Linked DNA regions of Oryctolagus cuniculus. The protein of the gene in region 2 interacts with the protein of the main gene of each other region in a biochemical or structural test. Links are inferred from orthologs where the notes say so. Each region holds a gene or a part of one and is shown on either strand. Other genes may lie near its edges.

The links. The genes of interacting proteins can lie anywhere in the genome.
Region 1: the proteins of FGFR1 (region 2) and FGF6 interact in a biophysical measurement, tested with the Homo sapiens proteins (2 studies listed by BioGRID and IntAct, with this or other methods). The link is inferred for Oryctolagus cuniculus from reciprocal best matches to the Homo sapiens genes FGFR1 and FGF6.
Region 3: the proteins of FGFR1 (region 2) and FGF4 form a complex in vitro, tested with the Homo sapiens proteins (2 studies listed by BioGRID and IntAct, with this or other methods). The link is inferred for Oryctolagus cuniculus from reciprocal best matches to the Homo sapiens genes FGFR1 and FGF4.

Annotation. Positions count from the first base shown.
Region 1 is NC_091440.1:105,003,927-105,009,139, forward strand, and holds the start of FGF6 (fibroblast growth factor 6), read left to right. Parts: upstream 1-1,916; 5' UTR 1,917-2,321; coding exon 2,322-2,667; intron 2,668-3,478; coding exon 3,479-3,582; intron 3,583-5,213. UniProt on the Homo sapiens protein: Plays an important role in the regulation of cell proliferation, cell differentiation, angiogenesis and myogenesis, and is required for normal muscle regeneration.
Region 2 is NC_091433.1:88,163,307-88,168,080, forward strand, and holds part of FGFR1 (fibroblast growth factor receptor 1), read right to left. Parts: intron 4,663-4,774; coding exon 4,396-4,662; intron 2,945-4,395; coding exon 2,855-2,944; intron 2,577-2,854; coding exon 2,404-2,576; intron 1,254-2,403; coding exon 1,130-1,253; intron 46-1,129; coding exon 1-45. UniProt on the Homo sapiens protein: Tyrosine-protein kinase that acts as a cell-surface receptor for fibroblast growth factors and plays an essential role in the regulation of embryonic development, cell proliferation, differentiation and migration.
Region 3 is NC_091432.1:3,166,866-3,171,666, reverse strand, and holds FGF4 (fibroblast growth factor 4), read right to left. Parts: upstream 2,852-4,801; coding exon 2,512-2,851; intron 1,952-2,511; coding exon 1,848-1,951; intron 1,385-1,847; coding exon 1,208-1,384; 3' UTR 998-1,207; downstream 1-997. UniProt on the Homo sapiens protein: Plays an important role in the regulation of embryonic development, cell proliferation, and cell differentiation. Required for normal limb and cardiac valve development during embryogenesis.

The sequences.
Region 1 (5,213 bases), on a different chromosome or scaffold from region 2:
CCAGTCTCTCCTTGTGGCGGGGACGTGGTGGCAATGGAGGTGACAGAACTAGGATGGTTGGGAGGCTGGGCAGGGCCCTGGGTGAGGGTACCAGCAAGCAATGAAGCCCGGTTGTCTCCCCAACTCTGTTTCCCAGCGGAGGGCAATGCCATGCCCTGCCTTCAAGGGTTCAAGGAGAGCACGCATAGGCGAGACTGACATATACAGTGTGACAGAGATTCAAGCCAAAGCATCAGTCCAAATGAGCGAGACTGATGGGCAGGAGGAAGGTGAAAGCCACAGACCAGAGGCAGGGACCCAGGCACGGCAGGAGCTTCAGGCTCAGAAGGGAGCTAGGGACTCGCCCATGGCTTTCCCAGGCTGCCTGCAGTGTGGGTGTGGCACGCAGGTGAAGTCTGTCAGCTGGGTCAGCTCCTGCCCGCACACTGTGCTCAAACCCGTGTCTACTGCCCCTGCCGCCACCCACACAGCCCTCCCCATCAGTGCTGATGAAGACCTCAGGTGTAAGGGAAGAAGCCTAGATTTTAAGCTAGAGTTCATTTCCTGCGTGGCCCTTGTTAAGTTATTTCACTTTCATGGGGCCCGTGTTGTGTGCAGTGCATTAAACTCCAGTCTACAATGCTGGTATCCCCTACGAGTGCCGGTTCAAGTCCTGGCTGCTCTACTTCCCATCCAGGACCCTGCTAATGTGCCTGGAAGGCAGTAGATGATGACCCAAGTGCTTGAGCCCCTGACACTCACATGGGAGACCAGGATGGAGTTCTGGGCTCCTGGCTTCTGCCCAACCCAGCCACAGTTATTGCAGCCATTTGGGGGATGAACCAGTGTACGGAAGATCCATCTCTCTGTCTCTCTCTTGCTCCCTCCCTCTGTAACCCTGCCTTTCAAATAAATAAATTAATCCTTTAAAAGAATCATTTTGCCTTCAGAAACATAATTCCTTCTTTCTTACATTTGCATAGCAATTGGTAGATGAGGCTTTTTTGGTAGCTTTTTGAAAAAGGGATTTGTTGCATCAGTTAGACATGTAATCTATTTAAAAGCAATACGGGAGAAGAAAATTGAGTGTAGGCAAAACTTGTTAGCTGCAGTGTTTTTGCTACTTTCTGTCTGTAATATCAGCCTGGCATATGCAGAAAATACCAGGCACGTCAAAGGTCTCTGGGAAGGATCTTTAAAGAAACGCGTCATTTTGTGCTACTGAAATAATCCCACGATGTACTCCTGGATGGAGTGAGCTAAACCCACTCGGCGGAGCAGCCCGGAAATCGACACGCTGATTCTAGGGATGATCACGCACATACCTCCAATTTCCGACCTGGCTGTGTGCAAGCTGTGGTAACGTGGGCAAGACACTCACCATCCCTAAGCCCTAGCCTCCTCCCTTGTATGATGGGAATAACACAGGGCACAGCCCAAGGAGGAGCGCAGGTAGGGGAGTTATCAGTGAGCTATTCAAGTCCAGATACAACATCCCCCCTGTGGGGTGACTGCCTTAACCAGGATGGTGAGCAGGTGGACTGGGCCCAGCCTTCCCGCCCTCCGTAACCCGAAGACGCCTCAGAGCGGCCCCCAACCAGAATCTCCATGCCCTCCTGCAAAAGGGCTTGCGTTCTCAGCTCCCTCCTCACCACGAGCTCTTTCCATGAAAAGTCTCCCAGACACTTGTAGGCTACTGTCACCGTCTGCCTCCACGCCTTCTCTCATCCCTGTCTTTACCGTTTGCCCTCTAAATAAGGAAGTTGGCACTGCCAGCCCAAGAACTCTTGCCCAATTTGGGTCCTGGGTGGCCTCTCGCCTCCCTCTTCCCCCTGGGCCCCCAGCCAGCTGCCCCTCCCCCCACAGAGATGCTCCCTGCTAACCTCATTCCTGCCTCATAGTTGGAATGACAGTGGCTCCCAGAATCCCTGGGGAGTGGGGAGGGCGATGGGGGTCTGGGGAGGCAGCCAGGCCCAGGGGCAGGTTAATGTTACAGGGCTGGGCAAGGGACCTGGGCCGGCTGGCGTCAGGGTGCTGATGGGTGCAGGGGAGGGCCGGGCTGCCGAGCTATAAAGATAGATCAAATCCAATATAATCAGCTCGGGACACAACAAGCAGGCCACCTAGAGAGCGTCCCCAAGCCATGGTCCCTACCGGCCGCGGCTCAGCTCCGGTCCCGAGGCTCTCAGCCCGAGTGCCCGGAGCAGGCTTTGGTTTCGTGTCAGCAGCCTTCATCTGCCTTCCAAAAATAAGCCCCTGCCGCCATGCTGAGGGGAGAAAAACAAGAAGGGGGGTATTTTTAGGGCCATTAATTCTGACCACGTGCCTGAGAGGCAAGGTGGATGGCGCGGGGACAGAGGCTGTTCATCACTATGTCCCGGGGAGCAGGACGGCCTCAGGGCACGCTGCGGGCTCTCGTCTTCCTCGGCGTCCTAGTGGGTATGGTGGTGCCCTCGCCGGCCGGCACTCGCGCCAACAGCACGCTGCTGGCCTCCAGAGGCTGGGGCGCCCTGCTGTCCAGGTCCCGCGCTGGGCTGGCCGGAGAGATCGCCGGGGTGAATTGGGAGAGTGGCTATCTGGTGGGCATCAAGCGGCAGCGGAGGCTCTACTGCAACGTGGGCATCGGCTTTCACCTCCAGGTGCCTCCCGACGGCCGGGTCAGTGGAGTCCACGAGGAGAGTCCCTACAGTGAGTGCCCTTGCAGCCCACGGGGACGCGGGGGGCTCAGGCTGGAGCACGGCCGACAGACCTGGGGGCCTTGCTGTGGTGGGGGGGATGTTACCCCTCGAATGGCTCCTTCTGATTCTGCCTGGACGCAGATTACATGGGGTCGGGCCCAAGTATCCAGGTGTCCTGTGGGGTCCATCGGAGTCCTGGTAAGAACCATCAGCTGTGGATGCCGCAAGCTGGGGTGGGGAGGATGAATCTGGACCCTTGGACCAAATTAGACACCGGCTTATTTTTACTCAGGAGAAGGAAAGGCAAGCTGCAAAGTTTCTGGCTGAAGCACACCCTTCGTTTTCTTTCAGCCTGCTTGCTCGGTCCCCAGGTCTTTAATTTGAAGTCGAGAGGTTGCTGCATGGATGGTCTCCTACCCCGGGGGGGAGCATGGGGGCTGCAGGACCCTCGCCAGTGTTTGTGAGCTTAGAGGGGGCGAGATTGGTTGATGCATGTGAGCTGGACGTTAAATGATAATGATAATAAACAGGAAATGTGTGGTTTTGCCCACAACAAGGACCTGCCTGATTACGGCAGGGAAATCTCAGATTTAAAACCCACCTCAACTAGACGCAGAGGGGTGTGCAGAGCTTCTCCCTGCAGAACTGAACCTGTAACGGTGTCGTGGCAGGACTCGCACCCAGGATTCCTAAAGCTAGAGGGATGGAGGACACAGGTGGCGAGCGTCTGACTTTCTAGGAGCAAGGGGGGCGGACGTAGTCGCTCCTGGCAGGCTGATCCGCACACGCCCCGGGTAACGTGCTCCCCATCTCTTTGTCAGGCCTGCTGGAAATTTCCACAGTGGAGCGAGGCGTGGTGAGTCTCTTTGGAGTGAAAAGCGCCCTCTTCATTGCCATGAATAGTAAAGGAAGACTGTACACGACGGTGAGTTCACCGGGCAGGGGGATGCGCCAGCGTAGGGGAGGCCTGGCCTTGCCCCATTGAAGAAAAGAACACAGAATCCCAAGTTGAGGAGGGAATCGTTATCTCAGATGAGGAAAGCAGGAGCCGTGCAAGGAGCCTGAGCCTTGAAGCTTCCATCTGGTCAGCCTTGGCCTTGGGCCGTGATTTTTCTGACCCCACATGCCAGGGCCTCTGCAATGAATCAGAAAGCACAGCTCAGGGAGCTCTGGGTTGCAGGGAAGCCTTGGTGCTGGTGTGAGGCTGTTCCCCGGGGCACAGGTGGGGCTGGTTCCCTGCACCTCCATACGTGCTGAGCTCGGAAGTCCCCTGATGCACCTCCCTGTCGGGCTCTCTGGGCAGCCCCGGTCCAGCTGTCCCTGCACCACCTGGGTCACACCCAGGAAGGCACACACTGGCCCCTGGGTTCACGTAGCCACCCACCATACACATTTGCCAAAGCCTCTGGCTTCTGAGCCACTCATGCCCAGGGTTCTGCAGTCTGAGATTTGGCGTATTCCAGAAACATGGGCTGGGAAGACATCCCTGCAAAGCTGAAGAATCTGTGAGTACAGAAATAAGGAGGCTAAAAAGGACAGCCCCAGAACAATCCTCAAGGAATACCAAGCAGAGTTATTTATGGGAAGGGCGTGGAGGGCAAACTGACAATCGGGGACTGAACAAATAGTTCTGGGATGGGTGTCGGGCTCCAGGCACTGATCTCAACAGAGGAGGGTCAAGAAACGTGTGAATGGTTGACCAGGTGGCCCGTCATCCTAGGGCTAGCATCTCTGGTTGATTTGCATGAATATGTAGTATGGAGGAAAGTCAGTGGACCTGCCATGCAGTTCTGTGGACAGTCTGCATCCATATCACTTTGGTAATCTGTGGAAGTACAGGTATCCCGGGACCTTCCTCAGATACCCTGACTCAGTAGGGCTGGGATTAGTTTAGAAATGTCTGCTTTTTTTCTCTAAACATTTATTTTATTCACTTGAAATGCAGAGTTAAGGGTGGGTAGGGGGAGGGAGAGACAGAGAAACAGACAGAGAGAGAGAGCTCCCACCTGCTGGTTCACTGCCCAAATGGCCCCAGCAGCTAGGCTGGGCCAGGCTAAGGTCAGGAGCCCAAGTCTCCCATGTGTGTGCAGGGGCCTGAGCACTTGGGCCATCTTCTGCTGCTTTCCCAGGCCATTAGCAAGGAGCTGAATCTCAAGTGCAACAGCCAGGATTCGAACCAGCTCCCATATGGGATACCGGCACTGCAGGCGGCAGCTTTACCAGCTATGCTATAATGCTGGCCCCAAGTGTCACTTTTGTTTTTAAATGTCTCTTGTGTTTTGGGACACAGGCAGGCTTGGGGACCACCTGGAAACAGGACTTCTGGGGGGCAAGGAATCATCTCGCCCCCGGGGTACACCTGCCTCCGTGGTACACCTGCCCAGAGATGAAACCTAGCCTGTCACTTGGAGTTCTCAGACACCCTTTTGACCACTCTGGAAAGGCGATGAGATGGTCAGGAAGCAGCAGGGTCCAGCCCAGGCTTTGGGGGTGCAGGGACCACCCTCTTGGCAGTGACTCCTTCCACAGGGCCCCTTCTCAGCCGCCTGTGCAGCG
Region 2 (4,774 bases):
TGGCAGGCAGCCCTGCCTGCAGGATGGGCCGGTGAGGCGACCGCTCTGTGGAAGAAAGGACACGTGTGGGCCTGCAGTGCCCCCTCGGCTTTCCCGGGGATGGGGCAGTGCATGTCCTGCATCTCCGCGGGGTCCCAGTGCCTCCACCCTGAGTCCTCTCTCGAGGCTCCATGGGAACTCCTCCTCGAGGCCACGCTCCATACTTATGCACAGTAATAAGTCTCCTGTAGCTTAAAGGACTTAACACCCTGAGATCCCAGCACAACGTGCTTCCCAGAGAGCTGCCGAGACCACTGCTGTTCAAAGTGTGGCCCAGGGACAGCAGCACCAGTGCCAACTGGGAGAGAGAGAGTCAGAAAGGCAGGATCTCAGAGCCTGGACCCCATCCCCCTGCTGAGACCACGTGGCCAGCACCAAGATGGGAGGCTGGCGGAGAGTCCCTGGGCCTCTCCATCTCCAGCGTGCTGGACTCTACCTCCAGAACGGGGATGGGAAGCCTCTGTTTCTGCCAAGGGCCACTTGGATATTTATAACGTCGTTCGTGGACCATATAAAATGATCCAACTTAACAATCAGCCTGCTATACATGTACTGAATTTCAAAGTCCCGTCTGGGATTGCCCTGGCAGGGCCAGACAAGGTGATTTTGTGGGCCTCGTACAGCCTGCGGGCTGGACGTTCCCACCCCTGCTCTAGGACCGGCTGCAGGAGCAGCCCTGAGAAGCATGGTGCTCATCCAGCAGCCGGCAGGGGCCTGGAATTCCACAGGCACCTGACCTCTGAGCCTCAGCAGGTACAGTGGGCGCGTGCCTGCCTGGTGGGGATGACAGCAGATTTGCAAGAGCCTTCATCAAGCCACAGCTACCACTGCACTCCCTGTAACAGCCCAACAACCAGTCACGTCTTTCAGGGTAGACTGTCAACAGTGCTTTCCAGTTCATGGCGACATTGGCTTTGGGACACATTCTCACCTAATGCTCTTTGGTTTGCAGATAGGGAAAAGTAAAGTGCAAACGGAGGAGCTGACCCGCTCAAGGTGACAAGGCAAGTGCAATCCTGACGCCATCCCGGGAGTCCCTGATGCCCGCTCCATACCCTAAGCACCTTAGGTCTGCGCCACCACCTCTTACCCACGACGTCCAGTTGGTAGGTGTGGTTGATGCTGCCGTACTCGTTCTCCACAATGCAAGTGTAGTTGCCCTTATCGGAGGGAACCACGGAGTCCATGATGATGCTCCAGGTGGCATAGCGGACCTGTGGGGAACAGGCAAAGGGCTCCACTGAGGGTCTGGAGGAAAATGCAGGCAGAGGCCATGGGGCCGTGTTGGTGCCTGTGGGACTGCCTCTCTCAGCTCCCCCATCAGAACTGCAGAGTAGCTGGGAGGAGGAACAGAGTACGTGGTGCTCAGCCCAGGTCCACTCAAACGAGCACGTCCATTAAACTGGCAGATGAGCGTGAGCCTTAGAAGTCTTCCCCGTGGTGCTCAAGGCCAGCCATGGTCTAACCAAGCTGTCTTCTGCAAACTCTCCCAAATTATACCAGGAATATTCTCAACCCTGTGCCTCTGTGCCTGGCTCCTGTTAAGAGTTTGGCCCGGGGCCGGTGCTTTACCAGCATAGCAGGTAAAGCCACTGCCTGCAGTGCCAGAATCCCATATGGGCACCGGTTCGAGTCCCGGCTGCTCCACTTCTGATCGAGCTCTCGGCCATGGCCTGGGAAAGCAGTAGAAGATGGCCCAAGTGCTTAGCACTTGGCACTCTGATATGGGTGCCATCATTCACTGCTTTCCCAGGCACATTAGCAGGGAACTGAATTGGAAGTGGAGCAGCTGGGACTCGAACAGGTGTTCTCATATGGAATGCTGGCATCACGAGTGGCAACTTAACTGGCTGCACCACAACACCAGCCCTATGTGTTTAAAAACTTTTTAAATGCATTAGTTAGAAAGCACTACTATTTAAAACAGAGGCATATGAGGGAGGATTTTCTTTTTTTTTTTTTTTTTTTTTTGACAGGCAGAGTGGACAGTGAGAGAGAGAGACAGAGAGAGAAAGGTCTTCCTTTTGCCGCTGGTTCACCCTCCAATGGCCGCCGCTGCAGCCGGCGCACCGCGCTGATCCTGGCAGGAGCCAGGAGCCAGGTGCTTTTTCCTGGTCTCCCATGGGGTGCAGGGCCCAAGCACCTGGGCCATCCTCCACTGCACTCCCTGGCCATAGCAGAGAGCTGGCCTGGAAGAGGGGCAACCGGGACAGAATCCGGCGCCCCAACCGGGACTAGAACCCGGTGTGCCGGCGCCGCAAGGTGGAGGATTAGCCTATTGAGCCACGGCGCCGGCTGAGGGAGGATTTTCTAACTCCCTTGTCCCATCCCTCCTCCTCTCCCTTCATATCTATGTGTACTAACCTTGTAGCCTCCAATCCTGTGGTCAGGTTTGAACTCTTTGCCATTTTTCAGCCAGCGCAGCGTGGGGTTCGGTGTCCCGCTGGAAGGGCACTTGAACTTCACGGTCTTGGCAGCCGGTACGGCGTGCAGTTTCTTTTCCATCTTTTCAGGGGATGTCCAGTACGGCGCTACGGCTGCCCGGGGAGAGCCAAGAAACGAGGGGGCTGGTCAGGTTCCGAGCAAGGGCCCAGGCAGGAGCGGGAGCTGCCTCGCCCATCTGCCCAGCACCTGTTTGCCACCATCCAGCATCAAGGGACACTCCAGGGGCTGCAGTCAGGCACCAGGACCCCACGTGCCCCTCCTTCCTCCTCCTCCTCCTCCTCCTCCTCCTCCTCCTCCAGTTTCAGCCAAGCCTTTCCCTTCCCTCTCCAACGAAACTCCCAGGCCCGTAAGATAGGAAACAGTGTCTCACGCATACGGTTTGGTTTGGTGTTATCTGTCTCTTTCTCCTCCGAAGAGGAGTCATCATCGTCGTCGTCGTCCTCCGACGAGGGGAGCGCATCTACGGGAAGAAGCAGCGCACTGAGGTCCCCTCTGACACAGCTCTGGATCTCCATGCCTATCAGCGGTCACCCCACTGAGACTGCTACCGATACGGACCAACACTGACTGCCCTCCCATATGGATTCCCACGGCCACTCTCCCTCGGCGTTCCAGAACTGCCTGCTCCTGTGCCTGGCCCTTCTCTCCCCAGTGGGGTCCTCTTTTGTTGGACTCCACCCTTCCCCCCTTAACTCACAGTACCCCGGGTCTCAGAACCACAACCTGGGAAACCTGTGTCCTTCTTTGTGCTGCCAATCACTGGGCCACACAGGCTGATGGAGACACAGTGGAGCTAGACGCTAGCTGCAGGGACGGACACGGCGCAGCTGGTTAAGCTGCCACCTGTGATGCTGGCAGCCCATATGAGCGCAGGTTCAAGTCCCGACTGCTCCACTTCTCACTCAGGACCCTGCTAATGCGTCTGGAAGAGCAGCAGCAGAGGGACTGAGTGCCTGGGCTGGGCCCCTACCACCCACGTGGGAGACCTGGATGGAGTTTCTGGCCTGTCTCTAACTCTCTCTCTGTAACTCTGCTTTTCATATAAACAAATGTTTTTAAATAAAAAGAGCAGCAATTAGTTTCAAAGTCAGGGTCCCGACACCTGCAGTCCGAATTTTTCCTGTGTGTCACCTGCTCAGGCTTGGGCACCGCCCCCAGCACCCGGCCTGCAGCTGCCGACACCTCTGCCCACCAAGCATCCACCCCTTGTCAGAACAGGCTCCACAAACACGTGGTCACCAATCAGGGTTCAAGGCAGGTCTTTTCCCAAGCCTGCCCCGCACTTTCAGGGTGGGGGAGAGGGAAGATGGGGGCATGTTCAAAGTGACACCTAAGGGGAGGCTTACGGGCTGCACACCTGGCCCGCCTCCCTGGGCTGCACAAATAGCTTCTAGAACATTTCAGCTCACTTCCTGCAATCACAGTCGCTTTCCAAAACTGGCAGATTCCCAAAGTCACAGAGCTCTGGGGTTCCCTGGCTGCCCTCATGGCTCCAAAGCTAGAGGCCAGGCGCTTGCTTCCTGGAGAGCCTGCGGGCGGGCAGGCGAGGCGGTGCAGCCCCGCCGGATTCTCCCCATCATCACAGCAGGGACCTCCGCCACAATGTCTGGGGCTCTAACTCCTCTGTTAGAGTACCAAGACCCACCGGACCGACTGACAGTGGCAGGATGGAGCTCTGGGCCACGCTGTGGTGGCAAAACCGCAGGGCCTTAACGCCCCGAGGGCATCTCTGGCTGAGGCCTGCTCCACCTGACCATCCCTCTGAGAGCCAAGCCACGCGGCGGGCAGGGAGCAATGTTAGTGGGCAGCGGATCGGAAGCAGAGCGTGGGGCAGAGGCTCGCTCCCTCGGAAACAGTGGGCCGGAGGGGGTAGGTGCGGGGAGAGCGTGAGGGCGGGGCTTTGCTACCAACCTGAGACGTTGACGGAGAAGTAGGTGGTGTCGCTGCCCGAGGGGCTGCTGGTCACGCATGCGTAGAGGCCGGAGTCGGCGGGCACGGAGTCCCGCACCTCCACCTCCTCGCCCGTGATGCGCGTGCGGTTGCTTTCTGCCAGCTGCACCCCGTCCCGCAGCCAGTTGATGCTCTGCACATCGTCCCGCAGCCGACAGCGAAGCTGCAGCAGGTCACCCGGGTGGACCAGCAAGGACTCCACTTCCACAGGGGCTCCCCAGGGCTGGGCTGCAGCCACCCCAGGGACGGGCAGAGGAGGCAGTGGCGGGCGAGGGAGGAGGGAGAGACAAAGGGGGAGTTACGCTGGCCACCACCGGGCCTCACTTCCTCGAACTGGCGT
Region 3 (4,801 bases), on a different chromosome or scaffold from region 2:
TGACATTTGTAAAATATATAAAGAGAAATATAAGGTTACTTGGTGGCCACGCACTGGCTCCTGCAGCTGTCTGTGAATATTTTCACCATGATTACTCGTACTAAAAGAGAAGCTGGGGTAAAGATAGCTCGAACGGGACAGGGTTCCAGCGGGGCGCACCGACGCTGCTCTCGGCAGTCCGCCGGGCTACGGACGGCAGGAGAGACAGCACGCCGGGCGGCCCGGGCTCTGAGCGCTCTGGGGGTTCGTGAGGTAGATGTCACCTGGACCGGTCCAGGGAACGCAGCAGTCTCCACGCACACTCCGCGTCCACCGTGCAGCCACACGGACACGCCATTAAAAAGAACAGCTACCCCTAGGCTTACGCTCCCCACGCAGAGGGAAGCCTGGCTCAAAAAAAAAAAAAAAAAAAAGAATACATTCTCTGAGAGGTTACCCCGAGCGCGTGTCTGGGGTCGCACGCTGCCTCCTCGCCAGCGTCTCGGCTCCGGCTCGCAGAGACCCCCGAGCTTGTCTTTGTCCCACCCCGCCGGCCACAGCAATGCGGGCCACAGCAATGCGGGCCGGCTACAGCAATGCGGGCCGGGGCTGATCCAAAAAAAGGAAGCCGGGAGTTTACAAAGTCGTCTTGGGGTCTCTCACCCATCTGGTAGGTCGAGGAAGATTGACTACAGGAAAGTTCAAAGGTCAGTCTCGCAGATCTAAAACCGGCTCAGCAGCCTGCAGTGAGCGGCACCTCCCCCACGACGCGCGGCCCCGGGGCGCGGGGCAGAGAGGGGGCCGCTGGCCGTGGCTGGCCGAGGCGGCCAGGGGCCGGGCACTCCGGAACCGGGGCAGGCCCCTTCCACGACGAGGGACGCTGGCCACCGCACTCCAGGGGCCGGCGCGAAGCAGAGTCCAGGCTGGAACCCGGTAGCAGCACATTCGCGACGACGACCCGACGGACAGATTCTCCAGATTCTCCACTGTTGCACCAAAACAGGCACAGTCGCTTTCCGTTGTTGTCTTTTTTTTTTTGTCCTTTTTCTTTTCTTTCCAGAAAAAAATACAAAACACACCCACAGAACTATAAATAATTTGGTGGCCATATATACACATTTAAATAATTAAGTTAAATATCTTACACCCGCTCCTGTGTTCGTCCAACTCTCCAACCAAAGAAAGTGCACAAGACAGCCTTCAGGACTGCCCTCCCCGGGGGGGGGGGTCACAGCCTGGGGAGGAAGTGGGTGACCTTCATGGTGGGCGACACCCGGTTCCCCTTCTTGGTCTTTCCGTTCTTGCTCAGGGCGATGAACATACCGGGGTACCTGTGGGACTCGTAGGCGTTGTAGTTGTTCGGTAGCAGGATCTCCTTGAACTTGCACTGCTCAGTGAAGAACGGCTGGGGGCAGAGGGGGGAGAAGGCTGCCATGAGCTGCAGCCATCTCCCGGGGAAGGGACTGGGGCGGGGAGGGGAGGGCACAGGTGACCACAGGGCCGGCTCTGTGCTGACAGGGTCTCTCCTGGGCGGTCAGGGAGCCCAGACCCTCACAAGGAGGAGCCGCACATGGCCGGTCCGTGTGTGACAGCTGGTGCCTGCGCCACCTGCCAGGTACCTCGCAGCCAGAGAATTTCACACTCAGCCGCCAGCCTGCTGGCTAGGACCTCCCCGCCCCCAGGGAGGGGGGCTCCAGGGACCCTTCACCGCCCACTCCTGGACGGCGGGACGGGGTGGGGGGTTCCTCTCTTGGGGCTGCTGCTATGCCTGCCTGTCCCTGGGCACGTTGAGGGGCTAGAGATCCCACTGCCATGGTTGGCAGCCCGCACAGGTGGGCCAGGAGGGGCCGAGCCCCCGTGGTACTCACAGAGCCGTATAGTTTTCCCTTGCTGCTCATGGCCACGAAGAACCGGCTGGCCACGCCAAAGATGCTCACCACGCCCCGCTCCACGGGCGAGAGCTCCAGCAGGCCTGGGGGAGGGGCGCGCGTCATTTGGGGGCAGGTGACCCTTGGCCCACATAGCCCCCAGGTTGGCACACCTCCGGGAACCCAATTTCCCGGGTGGGGATGGGATCCTCTGGTGCAGGCTGCCCCCCCCCCCCACGTCCCCAAAGGACCTCCAGGGTCCGTGCGTGCACAGGCCGGACCCGCTCGCGGGAGTCGGGGGCCCGCCGCACCCGCGCCCATCCCGGGACCGCAGGAGCGAAGCTTCCCCCTGAGGCCACGGCGGCCCCTGAGGCCGGCTCCAGCCTGGGCGCGTGTCCCGGGCCCCCGCGGGCGCCAGCGGCCGCGCCGCGCGCTCCGTGCCCACGGGGTGAAGGGGCTGGAATTCGGCACCCGGAGCCCGGGCTTCCGAGGGCGGAGAGGCGGAGCCAGGCGTGCGCCCCGGTCCTGGGGAGGCGGGGACCGGAGTCCGAGCCTGACCGGCTCTCGGAAGCCAACCGGCAGGTGCCCGGCCGGAGCCTCCAGAGCGCCGGCGAGAGTCGGAAGGGGCGGCCCCGACCCTTCCCGCCCGGCCGGCCCCACTCACTGTCGCTCGTGTCTGCGTGCACGCCGCCGATGCGGCCGTCGGGGAGCACCTGGAGGTGGAAGCCGATGCCCACGTTGCAGTAAAGCCGCCGCAGGCGCTTGATCCCCAGCAGGTAGTCGCCGGCGCCACTCTGCACCGTCACCTCCTTGGGCTGCACGGCCACGGGCAGGCGCGCCAGCGAGCGCGCCACCAGGCTCTCCCAGCGGCGCTCCAGCTCGGCCTCCCGCGTGCCGTTGGGTGCGGCGGGCGCGGCGGCGGCCCCGCGGCCCGCCCAGGGCGCCAGCAGGGCCAGCAGGACCGCCGGGAGCAGCGCCGCCGCGGCCGTCCCGGGCCCCGCCATGCCGGCCCGCGGGCCGTGCGTCCGTCCGGGGGTGCGCGCGCCGGGGCAGCCGCGGGGCCGAGGCGCGCTTGTGACGCCCCGCGGGAGCGCGGGATCTGGGCCGCGACGCGGAGCGGTGGCGGCGAGCGACGGGGCCTCCAGACGCCGGGCGCTACCTCGGCTGCATAGAACGGCGGGCGGCTGCGGAGGGACGCGCGGCCCGGGCTGGGACCCGGCGCAGCGGTGCGCGCCTCTGTGTGCGCTCGGCGGGCCTGGGCGCCAGCCGCTACTTATATAGCCCGGCGCCCCCCTCCCGCCCGCCCGCCCGCGCCCGCGGGGGGCCGTCCGCGTTCGCTGGGCGCCCGGGGCGCTGTGGCGCTCGCGGCCGGTCGCAGGCCTCCTGCCAATCAGCGCCGGGGGAGGGGAGGTGGCCGGGGACGAGCGCCGCGAGTGCCACCTGGAGGGACCCCGGCCCCCACCCTTGGCTCCGCCCGGCCCCCTGCGCTGTGCGTCCCGCCCCTCGCATCTCCTGGGCTTCTGCTTTTCCGACGCCCAGGTTCTGCCTTTGGCACCTTGTCGCTGCCTGTCCCGGCCTCGGCTCGGGTGCCCCGGGCGGGTCCCCAACTCGCGCACCCTCTGCCAGCACTGCACGTTTTGGGGGCTTCCCGGGAACCCAGTTTTTTATTTTGCTGTGTGTTTGCTGGCGCCTCAGGGACGGGCCTCTGGGGAAGGGGTGGCTCCAGCAAGCAGCCGCGCTGGTCTGGCCGGGCAGGGGTGGACCTCCAGGGGTGGGGTTCCGTGGTGTGGGGGCTGCCAAGGGAAGTCAGGGTGTCTGGCAGGCGCCCAGGGGCGGCCACGGCCCCCCACTCCCTGCACACGCCCACCTCCGCGCAGGGAGAGGCAGCAGGAGCCAGTCTCGGTGGACACCCACCTCCCGCCCGGATTCCGAAGCAGGAACAGTGCAGGACAGCAGTGCAGCCAGCAGGGACCCGGCCAGCCTTTCCGAGGCTCCCCTCCCCCTCCCTGAGGGTGCGATGGGCGCGGCTCCCCCAGGTGTGAAAATCGCTGTTCTCTGGTACCTGAGGAGCTGGCCTGAGGCCTCCCAGCAGACCCCGCCCAGCCACAGCCGCAGGGGGCCTGGAGTCCACCCCACCCCTTGCTGTCACCAGCACTGTGATTGGAGCTGACCCAGGCCACCTCCCACACTGTCCCCGCCACAGCGATGAGCATGAGTCAGACCCCCCCATCCCTGGCAGGGACCTGAGAGGCCTGAGGTCTCTGCCCAGAGGCCCGGGGGTGGGGTGGGCACTCACACCAGAACCCCCAGTCTCCAGACCCCTCACCCCCAACCCACCCAGCGAGGCCTTTTGCTGCTCTCTGGGCCTGCAGCTGGTCTGAGCTGCACCTGCCAAGGCCTGGCCTCTCGGGGTCGCCAGCTCACAGCTCCGGCCGCTGAGCCCCCGTCTCGGCCGCTGAGCCCCCGTCTCGGCCAGGGTGCAGGAGCCCTGGCGCCTCCTCCTCACTCACCATGCTCTTGCGCAAGTCCTCTTCTCTCTCCGCCTGGGCTCTCTTTGCAAGCCAGCATGGTAAGTGGGCTCCCCCCGCCCCCAGCCCAGGTCCCCCTGGGCACCTGCTCTGGGGAGGGGAGACCTAGGCCTGCGACCACCCTGGGCAACGAGAGGCCCTCTGAGGTCTGCCCAGCGCCTCTCTTCCCCCCAGGGCACCCCAGGGCCTGCTCTCCCGTTTGCTGGTAAATTCAGCAAAGGACCTTGCAGGCGGCCGACTCCTCCCACTGCACACAGTAGGCGCTCTTGGTAACAAAGGACAGGAAGGTTCTCCCCCAGGTCTTTCTGCCAATGCCTGCCCTCGACTGGCAGCCACCCGGGGTTCTCCTGTGCATCCCCAAAGTCCTCTGGCCGTTGAAGGGTCTTGGGCTGGCCGGCCACCCTTGGGGCATGCGCCTCCTCCAGG